2 linked regions of the Caenorhabditis elegans genome follow. The protein of the gene in region 1 purifies or fractionates together with the protein of each later gene. This does not show direct contact. Each region holds a gene or a part of one and is shown on either strand. Other genes may lie near its edges. The genes, in order: emb-4 and csr-1.

Region 1 (4,994 bases):
CCAGCCGCTGCGAAAAGCCGATACAATTTCAAATTTTAACTAATTTTTGGCCATTTTTTGAGCCGTCATAACTTTTTTTGAGAAGTTTTCAAAAAAGTTTCATTATGAAATTCGGTGTTATCAGACGATTTTGAGTCTAATAAAGCAATAAAAACAAATTTCGACAACTCAAAATTTGAAATTTAATGTGAAAATATAGAAAATCATTAGATTTATTTGAAAATAAAATACATTTCAGTCGAAAAATTTAATAAAGTGCTCAAAAATGGCCTTCTGAGCACTTTATCAATTGTGTTTCGACTGAAATAAATTCAATTTTCAGAAAAATCAAGTACCTAATTTTCTATATTTTTATACTAGTTTTCAATAAAAAAAATGGTGGCAAAACATGATATTTTGAAGAAATCCGCATAAAAATCGTCAAAAACCCGAAAATTGACGTGTTTCTACAGTAAAAAGGCTACGAAATTCACTGTAGAAACGCCAATTTTCGGGGTTTGACGATTTTTATGCGGATTTCTTCAAAATGTCATGTTGTACCATGTTTTTTTTAAACCATTTTAGCGCCCGTTTTTTCTCAAAAATTCTCAATTTTCAGCCGCCAATTCCCGCACCTGAAAGATCATCAATCTCAAATCTAGCGTAAAATTTGAGGAGTTGAACCAATTGGAAGAACAGCGAACCAGCGTCAGTGGAAATCAACGAAGAAAGCAGGCAATGTGTGAGAATATGTGATGAATGAAGTACTGAATTGAAGAATCGTCTCGTTTGAAGAATTGATTCTAAATCAATCAATAATTCGATGAATCTCTCGCAATATTTGATCGAATCAATTGGATCACGTACTTCTCCTTCTTCGGATTCTGCAAAAATTGTGGATTTTCAATGAAAAAGACCAATTTTTTTAGAAAAAATCGCGCGAAAATCGAATTCTACAACACATTTTCCGGGACTTTTTTTAGTTCAAAAATCACAAAATTTGAATTTTGGCGCTGAACTCTTAGCTGGAATTTGATACAATTTAGGGAAAAATTAATTGGAGAAACTGCTGATTTCTCGAAAAAATAGAATTTTTATTGCAAAATTTCTGAAAATTACTCGAAATTTGCCCGAAAAATGGGCTAAAAATGCTGAAAATACCATAAAAAATGTAAAAATTTGAGAAATTACTCAAAATTAGATGCTAAAAGCTAAAAACATCGGAAAAATCAGTGAAAATCCGCTGAAAATGTGTAAATTACGATGAAATTTGGTTTTGGGCGCTGCTTAGACTACAAACTACAAATTTTGGGCGCTGCTTAGACTACAAACTACAAGTTTTGGGCGCTGCTAATTCAATTTTGGGCGCTGCTTAGACTACAAACTACAAGTTTTGGGCGCTGCTAATTTAATTTTGGGCGCTGCTTAGACTACAAACTACAATATTTTGGGCGCTGCTGTGAATTTTTCACGTTTTTTCGTCATTTTCAAGAGATTTTAATGAGGTTTTCATTGAAAAATCGAAAAAAAATTACGGTTTTCGGATAAAAAACTAATATTTTCTTTAATTTTTCGCATTTCTCTTCAAAAAAACGGAATTTCCGGCGTTTTTCACCGATTTTCTCCGTTTTTTCCGGAAAATTTAGCATTTTCCACGTACCCTGAGCCTCATTTGGCTCCAAACTGTTCAAAACTCGTTTAAATTTCTCGATTAAATTCCACAAATAAGTCCGTTCGAACTCGTTGTTGTCCGCCGCCGCCGCCGTCATTTTCTGCCGCACATTTTCCCAAATTTTCTTCAATTTCTTCTGTTTTTTGAACAAATCTTCGCGTTGTGAGTCCAAAAGACCGGCCCAAATCTCAATTGAGACGAGTTTTCGTGTCTCTTTGTGCACAATTGGTGTCTCAACGGAGCCAAATGCGTTGACAAGGAATGTCAGAAGAGCACAGTGTTCTGAGGAGGCGAGTCTGCAAAATTTCGAAGGATTTTTTGGTGAAAATTGGGGAGAAATTTAGTGGAAAATCGCATTTTTCGCGTTTAAATAGTGGTGATTTTCAGTGGTTTTTTGCTTTTTTCGCGAAAAAAAACAAGAAAATTGCTCGAAATTAGGTGCAAAATGAGCGAAAATGCCGAAAAATTGCTATGAAATTCGCAAAATGCAGCTAAAAATGAGCAAAAAGCGATGAAATTGGTTTTTTGGGCGCTGCTAAGACTACAAACTACAAGTTTTGGGCGCTGCTAATTCAATTTTGGGCGCTGCTTAGACTACAAACTACAAGATTTTGGGCGCTGCTAATTCAATTTTGGGCGCTGCTAGACTACAAACTACAAGTTTTGGGCGCTGCTAACGACATTTTGGGCGCTGCTAGACTACAAACTACAAGTTTTGGGCGCTGCTAAGACTACAAACTACAAGTTTCGGGCGCTGCTTAGACTACAAACTACAAGTTTTGGGCGCTGCTAGACTACAAACTACAAGTTTTGGGCCCTGCTAATTCAATTTTGGGCGCTGCTTAGACTACAAACTACAAGTTTTGGGCGCTGCTAAGACTACAAACTACAAGTTTTGGGCGCTGCTAATTCAATTTTGGGCGCCGCTTAGACTACAAACTACAAGATTTGGGCGCTGCTAATTCAATTTTCGAGCTAATTTCGAGTTTTCTGAGCTTTTTCGCCATTTTTCCGCTAAAATCTCGAATAATCACCCTTCTTCCTGCAACGAAAGCTGCAAAATGCTCTTAAAAAAGTGCGGAAAGTGCTCGGATTTCTTCGTGAAACAGTTCCACGAATCCAAATTTCGTTCTCGAAATTTCTCATTAATCATCACAACAATCGACATATTCCAGGCCTTTGAGGCTTTTTCTGGAACGTAATTCGGCCATAAATAGGCCTCCAAGTACTGCGAAAACTCGAGCATCATGATTTTTCGCGAATTAAACGAGGTTTTCAGCATTTCATTGTCGTAAATTGTGTCGATGAGCTTTGCGTCGAAATTTTCGTGAGTTTCTGCTGTGAATGGAGCCCAGAACTTGGCGGCGACCTGAAAAATTGGGAAATTTTAGGAGGAAATTTGATTTTTGTAAGTTTTCTAAGGTTTTTTTGCACCCACCGCTGAAATTGTGTCATTTTCGATGGCTCCCCGAGTCACCACGGCTTCTTGATGACGTTTAGTCACCATTTACACCTGAAAAACAGTTTTTGCCGAAAATCGCAAGATTTTAGCGATGAAACTGGTGAATTTGGGAGAAAATATCAAGAAATATTAAATTTTCGAGTTTTTTAATGCAAAATTCACTAAAAAACCTCGAAAATTCATTGAAAAACAACGGAAAATCAGAAAAAATAACTGAAAATAAAAATAAATTTCGAAAAATCCGGAAGCGCGCCTTGGACTTTTGCTGGCGCACTTTGCGTGCTTGGCGCATTTCTCGATTTTTTTAATTTATTTTTTGTCATTTTTCATCGAAAAACCTGCAAAAACCTCAAAAAATCACGATTTAAAGTTAATTTATTCAATAAAAATCAATTATAAATCCTCAAAATACTCATAATGAGAAAATCGCATCGTGTGAACGTCGAAAACCTTGGCCAATTGGAGTTTTGAGCGGATTTGGAGCACTTCTTCCTGCAAAAATGTGTTAAATTTTATTAATTTATCAATATTTAGAGTGAAAAAGCTAAGAAAACCTTAATTTTCCGGATAATTCTCAAAATCTGCGCCAGGCGAACTGAATATCTCGGCGTTTCCTTCACATTAACATAGTAATCATGCAGATTATTCGCCAATTTTTCCATAATTTTCTCGCAATTTTCTTGAATTTCGCCTCGAAATCGGCGTCCCGCGTGTCCGAGCACCAAATGAGCCAGCATATAGGACAGCTCCACGTCATCTGGGTTCAAATTCATCATTTCTTGGGCAAATTTGTAGGTTATGTGGTTTTCTGACGTGTCGTAGAAGCTGAAAATTGGTGAAATTCTGCTGAAAATGCGCTGGGCGCTGCTAAGACTACAAACTACAAGTTTTGGGCGCTGCTAATTCAATTTTGGGCGCTGCTTAGACTACAAACTACAAATTTTGGGCGCTGCTAATTCAATTTTGGGCGCTGCTTAGACTACAAACTACAAGTTTTGGGCGCTGCTAATTCAATTTTGGGCGCTGCTTAGACTACAAACTACAAGTTTTTGGGCGTTGCTAATTCAATTTTGGGCGCTGCTTAGACTACAAACTACAAGTTTTGGGCGCTGCTAATTCAATTTTGGGCGCTGCTTAGACTACAAACTACAAATTTTTGGGCGTTGCTAATTCAATTTTGGGCGCTGCTTAGACTACAAACTACAAGTTTTGGGCGCTGCTAATTCAATTTTGGGCGCTGCTTAGACTACAAACTACAAATTTTTGGAATTTTGAAGCAATTCCAATAGAGTTTTTAATGGAAAAAATGCCAGAAAACTGAGAAAATTAATAATTTTCGCGGAAATTTTCGCGGAAAAGAAAATCGAATTGGAGATGGTTTTGACTACAAACTACAGCATTTTGGCGCTGTTTAAGCCTAAAATGCACACTTTCGCAGGATTTTGTCACAAAAATTTCGAGTTTTCGGGTGATTCTGAGGGGGTTTTAAGCGTATTTCCGAAATTTTCCGCTACAAAAACTACTATTTGGTTTGATCTACGAGAATTGCGGGGTGTTTAGAGATAGAGTTTGCTGACGTCATATTTTTCTGGGAGTGAAAATTTTTCCCGCATTTTTTGTTGATCAACCCTAAGTACTTACAATTGCATTTGCTGATTGGTTAATCGTGAGCACCACGTCAAATCCAACTCCATATTCTTCATATCCATCATTGAATACTCATTTTTATGCGAAAACATTACACAATCACCGCAGCACATCTTCATCCGTCGCCCCATCGCTGTAATTGCCAACTTATCCAGACGAGACCATACATGCCACGTGGCGGCAAGGATTTTTAGCTGGAAATTTTCGGGATTTCAGGTGGTTAAAACTATAAAA
Region 2 (7,323 bases), on another chromosome or scaffold:
ATGGATCAGCAAAAAGAGCTCATTATCAGAAAAAGGAGAAGATGAAGCTCTCTTTCTCACTCTCTCTCTCTCCCTTTTTTTTCTTTGCTCATTCGAACTCAACATAGTTGTATTCTGAGCATCTGACGGCGAAAATATCATTAACGTTCAGAAAATAGCAGCTTTGTTTCAGAAAGGCGAGGGAGAAATGAGAAATCGAAACTGTGGCATAAAGCTCGAAATTTTTATGAAGAGGGTTTTCAGGGAGCAGAAATTCAAAATGGAATTTACAATTATCAATCCGAAAGTTATTTATCAATTTCCCCGCAAGAAACAATTTCCTTTTTTAAATAGATATCGTGTTAATGTACTATTTATATAATGGGTTTCAAACCAGCAAGAATCTATGGTCTTTCGGAATTCTGAAATTCTCACAAATTTATTCATGAGAAGCTGAGAAGAGAAGGGCACATCTTCTGAATTTCTCTTTTTATTCCACATTCGGTGCGTCATTTCATTCGGTAGACGAGCTGTTGTATTTCAGATAGATGAAGCTCTTTCAGTGGCTGCACACAAATAACTAATTATCATGTGTCATTAATAAAACCAGATGAATGCCACGTGAAAACTCATGAATTCCTGAGTTTCGCAGTTGTATACCCCCCAGGAGTCAACGAAAAATGTGTCATGAAAACATTTTATGGATCATGTTTTATGAGCAACAAATTCATTTTCTTGAGCCTTCACCAAAAAATTAGATTACGCAGGCCGTATGGCAGGGGTAAATGTTTCACACGAATCAAAAGATCTTTTGCATACACTGTTTCAACTTTTCATCGTTGAATAAAATCTGCCACAAAAATTCATGCAAAGATAAAAATAAAAACAACATTATTCAACACGACATTTATATAATGAAGTTATACTAACCAGTGGAACAAGGTAAAGGTAGGATATTCTTTCCACAATTTCATATGAAAAGAAATCTTCCAGTGAACATATGTGAGAAGACCGATTGTTCAACATATCACCAGAAATGATAATTATATTTGAATGGAAAGAAGAGCAAGTTGTGTTGTATTCAAGAGAAATACTGGCTGCGCTTCTCTATATTCAAAAACAAACGAAGAATGGGAGGAGCTTGAGAAGAGAGGGTGGAGGCAAGAAAAAGGGAAAAAATAAGATGAGACTTTAAGGGAGGAAAATTTAACAGTTAAAATATTACGAGCGGAGGAATTTATCTATTGAACTAAGTCTCAGGATATTCGAGACATGAGGAATGTAGGAACAACAGGGAAAGAGTTGCACGCCTAAACAACTCGAACTTTTGAAAGTCGATCGAGAGTGCTATAGGAGAGTTGAGTGGTGAGCGTTTCCCAATCATCAAAGAGTTCGCCATTCTTGAACCTGAAAAAATTAAAATTTTAAGTTGCATTGAATAATCACATTATACCTATAAGCTTTGTAAAGCCCGGTTCCTCTCTTGGCGAGCTCATGAGCAACGTAAACTGGAGTTGGGATGGATGTTGGACTGTTAACAAGCTAAAATTTTCCTTTGTGTTAGAAAGAAATCAGTTGTCTGTACCTGATGAAGACTGCATACGGCGCAAACCATTTTGGCAACATGTTCGTCCGAAACTTCCTCATCATCTCGAATAACCAAGAATGATGGAACCTTTGCAGTACCTTGCACTGGCCGGAAAGCTTGGATGAAGATTTGTCTTTTTCCATATTCGGCAATATCACCACCAACAGATGTATCGGGAAGCGGATTCTGAAAAATAAGACGTACAATTTTAACAGATTATTGTTTTAAGAACTTACGATCGGCATGTTCCCGTGATGTCCTCCCTTGGCGTAGAATCGAGTGTGGTGACGTTTTTTAACAACAATGGCTAATACTTTTGGAGCATAATCAGAATGGCCCATGGACTTAGCGGCTGTCTTAATGGTTTGCTCAATGATTTCCACCTCCTTCAGAGCCGCAGTCTCTTCACCGAATGAAACACCATCACGGAAGATGATTACTTTCTTTGGGAAACCTCGAATTTCGGCAAAGTTTCGAACGCTTTGGTCAGTGAATTTTCGCAAAATTTCATCCTGGATCGCCTCTCTTCTAGGATCGGTGTATAAGAAGTCTCCAATGAACGAGTATGGGTTTTCAGCAGAATTGCAGGACAGCTATAAAATAAATTTGTAGCGACACGGCTATGTTGATAACTTACTCCGACGGTGGATGGATTTCCTTCTCTCGCAGCGTTTCGGTCAGGATGAGCAACGTCCATTCCAATTACGAAGGTAGAAACTTCATTCCAGCACGCAAGACTGTAAAAATTAATTTAATAATGTATGATGTGCGCCCAACTAACTCTCTTGGAATATCTGCTGTGTAGTTAAGTCCACCGCATTTAATGTTGGCTTTCATCACAATATTGTCAAGAGTCAAATCATATGCTCTTCTTCCACCTTGAGACTTCTTTTCGATGTTGTCACGCATCTTTTTGACATTTTTGAGAAGTACGTGCTGCGTTGGAATGTCACTCATACGCTCTTCGAATTTGAGGCACTCATGAATGTTAGGAACGTCATCGGAAATAAACAAGACGAACGGAGTGAAAGACGAATCCCGGTAGTTTGGATGAGTCACCAAGTTTTTGAAGACCGAAGTAAGGAAATTTTCGCTGCCTCGTTCGCCATTGTGCTGATCCATGCTATAACTGCCAATGTGCATTCCTTTGTCCTTGCAACGCTGCATGAATGCTTTCGCGACAAATTTGGTTGCATCGCAATCAGCATCCCAAGTTCGAGTATAACCTGCTACTAGAACGAACATCAAATGGTCAATCGTAGCAGGTGTAACAAACTTTTTGTCTTGTGCTTTCCAGTCACGCTTCTCATCATCCACGTGTACCGGGTCTGCATATGCAACACTAGGCGCGAGGACTCTTTCACCGTCGATCTCACTGACGTTGTTGAAAGGATCATTGCAGATTTGGACACCAAAATCTTTCATGACTTGATCGTTGAAACCAAATTGATCGTAGTGTTTTTGAAGAGTTGACCAGCGTTCGTTCGGGGCATTCGCTCGTGGCTGTAAGTTGAATTAAGATGACATATATGAAAAATTTAAACTTACTGTAAGCTCAAACTCTTCGAGTACACGGCGGTCAATGGATTGATAAGGAAGAACCTTCAAATATTCGAGCGGCATGAGGCGCTTGTGTGGTCCAGTGCCGCATTGAACTGCAGGAAGCATTGGGAATTTCAGATTTGGATACTTTTGTCTGAATTCTGGATCTTTCGGCGCGTTGTAGTCAACATCCGACACTGTGATAGTGTTCGTAGCCCAAATCTGTTTGTCATCGTAATATGGGTTGCATTTTAAATCCTTCAACAATAGTTTCACGGCTCTTTGCAGTTTCATATTTGGATTAACGATACGGTTTGGCGGAAAATCACGAGGAAATGCGTACTGCAACATCTGACTGAGTGGGATTGAAGCATAGTACTGAGTCGATTGAGCTGCAAATATATAAAATTGCAAAGGTATGAACGCGAATGAAACTAACGATCGAGTTCTAGAATTGGAAGAGGTCCGTTTGCTCCGACGATTCGGCATCCTTTGTGGATTCCTTTTGCTGCAACAGCCCATTTCACGCGAAGCTCCTCCAAGCTTTGAGTGTGGACATAGAGACCTTTCGACTGCGACAAATATCTTTCGCTGAAGATACATTTGGAAAGCAATAAGTAAGAAATTAATAATACCTTCTAATGGCACTCTGTGATGTCACAATATCCAAATAAGCGTAGAATCTTGGATCACTCCATTCGTTAAGCTCCGTCTGAACGAATGACGGTTTCTCGAGATCCGGTTCACAAGAGATCTCCAAATCGCCGCTGAGGAACGAGATGGAATCCTTCAGAAAATTGGAAAGTTCCGGGATTTCGAGAGCATCTTCTTTCTTGATATCGACCATCTATAAACCCAAATACAAGAAAGAAAAAAAAATGAAATCATACCAAGCTGATTCCCTCCAAAGTGAATAAAGACTGTGCACCGTCGTACGCGAATGCAGGAAGATTCTGCTGACCCTTCTTCGCGGCCCACTGTTTGAGTAGGATGTCAAGAAGAATAAAGTTATCTTTTTGCTTTGTTGCACGGTTTCCACGTCCTCTGAAATAAAAGTGTAAATTTTAAACGAACAGTACACTCACCTGGCACTCATTGTTGTAAGAATATACTCCTTATTGTGCTGACGATCGATGAGCTTCATTTGCACAACATGCCGGAAAATCGTTCGCTCAGAGAGCTCAAGCCCGAAGATGTTCAGGGCAAGTCTTGGATTTTGCTTCTGATTCATGTCAGAGTTAAGTCCTGAAAAAAGTATAGTTCAAATTATTATTTAAAAAATAAAAGCAATGATATCAAAATTCAAAATAAGAACGGGAAAGAAACGATCAACTAAACGCAGAGAAAGGCCTAAATTTCAAGTTTTTGGGAATGCGAAAATTCTAGAAGATTGTGATCACACCTGACGCGAAGTCGCACACTTTTCATCTACCGTATCCATGTGAGAGAGCGCGCACCACCCTTTGTTCAATGTTTTGATCAGATGAAACAATTTTTAAATATGCTAAAAAAAGAAAATATGTTGATTTCGTTAGCTTTTATTGATTTCATAACTATTCAGTCTTCTATTTTATCAAATTACTGATTTCTCAAAATTGTTTGTTATGTGCCTCCGCATTGGTATTTCTTTGTTGGTGGGAAGATTTTTTTTAAATCTCGAAAAACAATTTCCCGCCCGAGATCGAAATTATTTCGGTTCGTTCCCCGAAAAATCACAGGTGCGAGATCAAAAATTAATTTAAAAATCAGTCGCTATTTAAATACAAAATAATACTCAAATAATACTCACCTTTAAGCTTTGGCTCTGCTGAATTTTCCAAGATCAATCCATTATATTTAGGATCCACGGTAGTGGTTTGGGTCGATCCACCTCTGCCGCTCCCGCCAGTTCTCCCGCGATAGTTTCCGCCATTTGCTCCCCGATTGTACCCTCCAAAACGATTTTCTGCTTTTGATTCTTCATCATCACGTCTTCTGTCGTAACCTCCTCGTCCACCTCTGAATGATCCGCGGTTGCCTCTCGATCCTTCCTGACCATCTCGATGCGAGCCACGATAACTTCCAGTTGGCGTCTTCTCATAGTTGAAATCATGACGGTCTCCTCCTTCATACTTTACCTTGCCTTGATACGTTACATGGGTTTCTCTCGTTTCTAAATCCGGACGATACGAGTCTCCGTATCCTCCACGTCCTCTACCACGTCCACTACCTCCACGAGAACCACCACGGCTTCCACGGCCACGACCGACATTATCCGACTGCATTCTAACCTGAAAATATTGATAAATTAATCAAGAAATGTAATATTATTATTTTTGTGAAATTTTGAGGATGACAGTTGTTTATTATCCGCAAATTTTGAGGTACACAAATATCGAAAGCTGATTTCAATTGATTGAGAGAAAAAAGAAGGATTTTCGAAAAAAGAAAAAAACTTTTGAAGACCTATTTATTCAGATTTGGAAAACAGTTAAGTCAAATTTAAAACCTTAAAAGCATCACACAAACCTTCAAAGTATAAGAACTCTAACAATTCTTGCGAAAAACAGGAAAGTCTCGCTTCAATTTTGGAGCTAAAACGATAGAATAAACTAAACTTGAAACCTGACAAAACACCACGTATGCTGACCTTGAAAAACGTGGCTTTTTGGCCGTTTACCGTGACAAAGGTCAACACTTTTTTAATATATTTTACGCGTGGTGAAAGTTATCACAATTATTACTGGAGCACTAAATCCTGAGAATGAGTACTGTAGCAATAAATACTGTAGCATACAATTTTTAAACTAAAATTGAATCAAGGCTAAAAATAATTTTGAAAACAGAATTTCCAAAATATGTTTTTAAAGGATATTCTTACCGAACACTCGAAAATATGAATACAATGAAAATAAAAATTCAAATCTTATTCATGAAATTATCAGAGAAAGAGGAAAATAAATAAAAGCTCTTTGTTCCCATAAACATTGGAAAACCAATAAAAATGGGGTGAAATGGCATGATCACGTCTGCAATAAAGATGATTCATAACTGTTTATGCATCAAAAAAAAATGTTTGATTTTGGAAAATGTATCTAGTTATTTGGAACTAGGACGATAACCGTAATCAGAGATACAAAAGTTTGAACATTCATACCGATAATTAGTGATTAGCGGTATTTTGAAAAATGTAGATAATTCAACTAGAACAATGCACTATTTAAATTTGTATCAAGAAAGTTTCTAGTTCTTGAATTAAAGACAAAAATTCAAAATAAAAAATCTGCTTACACAATTGATTTGATAAAATTTTGTTAACAGCAAACATGTAGACAATAAAATATTTTGTCTGTTAAAATGTGTTTTTGATTTATGAGTTGGAGTCCCGTTAACGTAATCATTTCATGTAAAAATACAGTTCATTACTATATTAATAAAAGTAAAAAGTTTTAGACTTGTTTAAATTTGCGAAAACCTTCAACTGTCCGTTCCCAAAAATAATCCACAGTTTCATAATTCTCCTGGAGAATGCCTTGTGTGCTCAAAAATATTCATATTTCTATGAAAAAAGTGATAACAAAGAACCGAAAATTCAAAATCTCACGATAAACGATAACAAATCGTGGAAAAAACACTATTATTTTGACAATTTTCCAATATTTTCAATGCTCACTTTCCCATTTGTTAATTACTTTTTTTGGGGTTACTGTAGCCGAGCTATATAGCTGAATTTTCTTAGGAAGGTTTTCTCTGATTTTCTCAAAAGAATCTAATTTCAATTCCATTAATAATCTCAATTACCTTGCCTCAACAAAAATACTCAAATTTCAGTGTTTGTCATAGAATGATTACAAGCATGGGCGGTTGAAGAAAGAGTGTATTGGTGGAGAGAGACTCAGAGCTCACCTGTCGCATAACTTTCCCACGGGTTCCTAATATAAATCAAAACCTGAAGCCGAAAAGGCTCTCATTCTCAATCTAATTCCTAATCGTCATATATATTGGCAACTTCTCAACTCTACATTTTCTTAAAGTCTTTTAAATAAAAACTATTGAAAAATGGCTTTCAATATTGAAAGTTTACTGGAGAAAAAATCTAATCCAGTTGAAGAAGGTAATGATTTTGAGGAAGAAAACGACAGCGAAAAAAACGGTGAAGAAGACGAAGAGGAAGAAGAAAAAAATGTAATTGATGGTTGGACAAATATGGCAACAAGCCAATTGGCAATGTTTGC

What was found.
Region 2: the proteins of emb-4 (region 1) and csr-1 purify together in Caenorhabditis elegans (affinity purification with western blotting, with the first as the bait; one study listed by BioGRID). This does not show direct contact.

The regions. Positions count from the first base shown.
Region 1 is NC_003283.11:18,891,811-18,896,804, forward strand, and holds the start of emb-4 (Intron-binding protein aquarius), read right to left. Parts: upstream 3,165-4,994; 5' UTR 3,159-3,164; coding exon 3,090-3,158; intron 3,021-3,089; coding exon 2,686-3,020; intron 1,948-2,685; coding exon 1,640-1,947; intron 864-1,639; coding exon 615-863; intron 1-614. Other genes in the region: nhr-243 (Nuclear Hormone Receptor family), read right to left, coding at 3,507-3,605, 3,668-3,938, 4,755-4,954.
Region 2 is NC_003282.8:7,955,630-7,962,952, reverse strand, and holds csr-1 (Piwi domain-containing protein), read right to left. Parts: upstream 5,687-7,323; 5' UTR 5,618-5,686; intron 5,380-5,617; 5' UTR 5,374-5,379; coding exon 4,899-5,373; intron 4,355-4,898; coding exon 4,195-4,354; intron 4,154-4,194; coding exon 4,000-4,153; intron 3,957-3,999; coding exon 3,745-3,956; intron 3,701-3,744; coding exon 3,549-3,700; intron 3,502-3,548; coding exon 3,116-3,501; intron 3,071-3,115; coding exon 2,349-3,070; intron 2,305-2,348; coding exon 2,205-2,304; intron 2,161-2,204; coding exon 1,804-2,160; intron 1,754-1,803; coding exon 1,565-1,753; intron 1,522-1,564; coding exon 1,433-1,521; intron 1,387-1,432; coding exon 1,290-1,386; 3' UTR 796-1,289; downstream 1-795. Other genes in the region: Homeobox protein ceh-19, read left to right, coding at 7,148-7,323.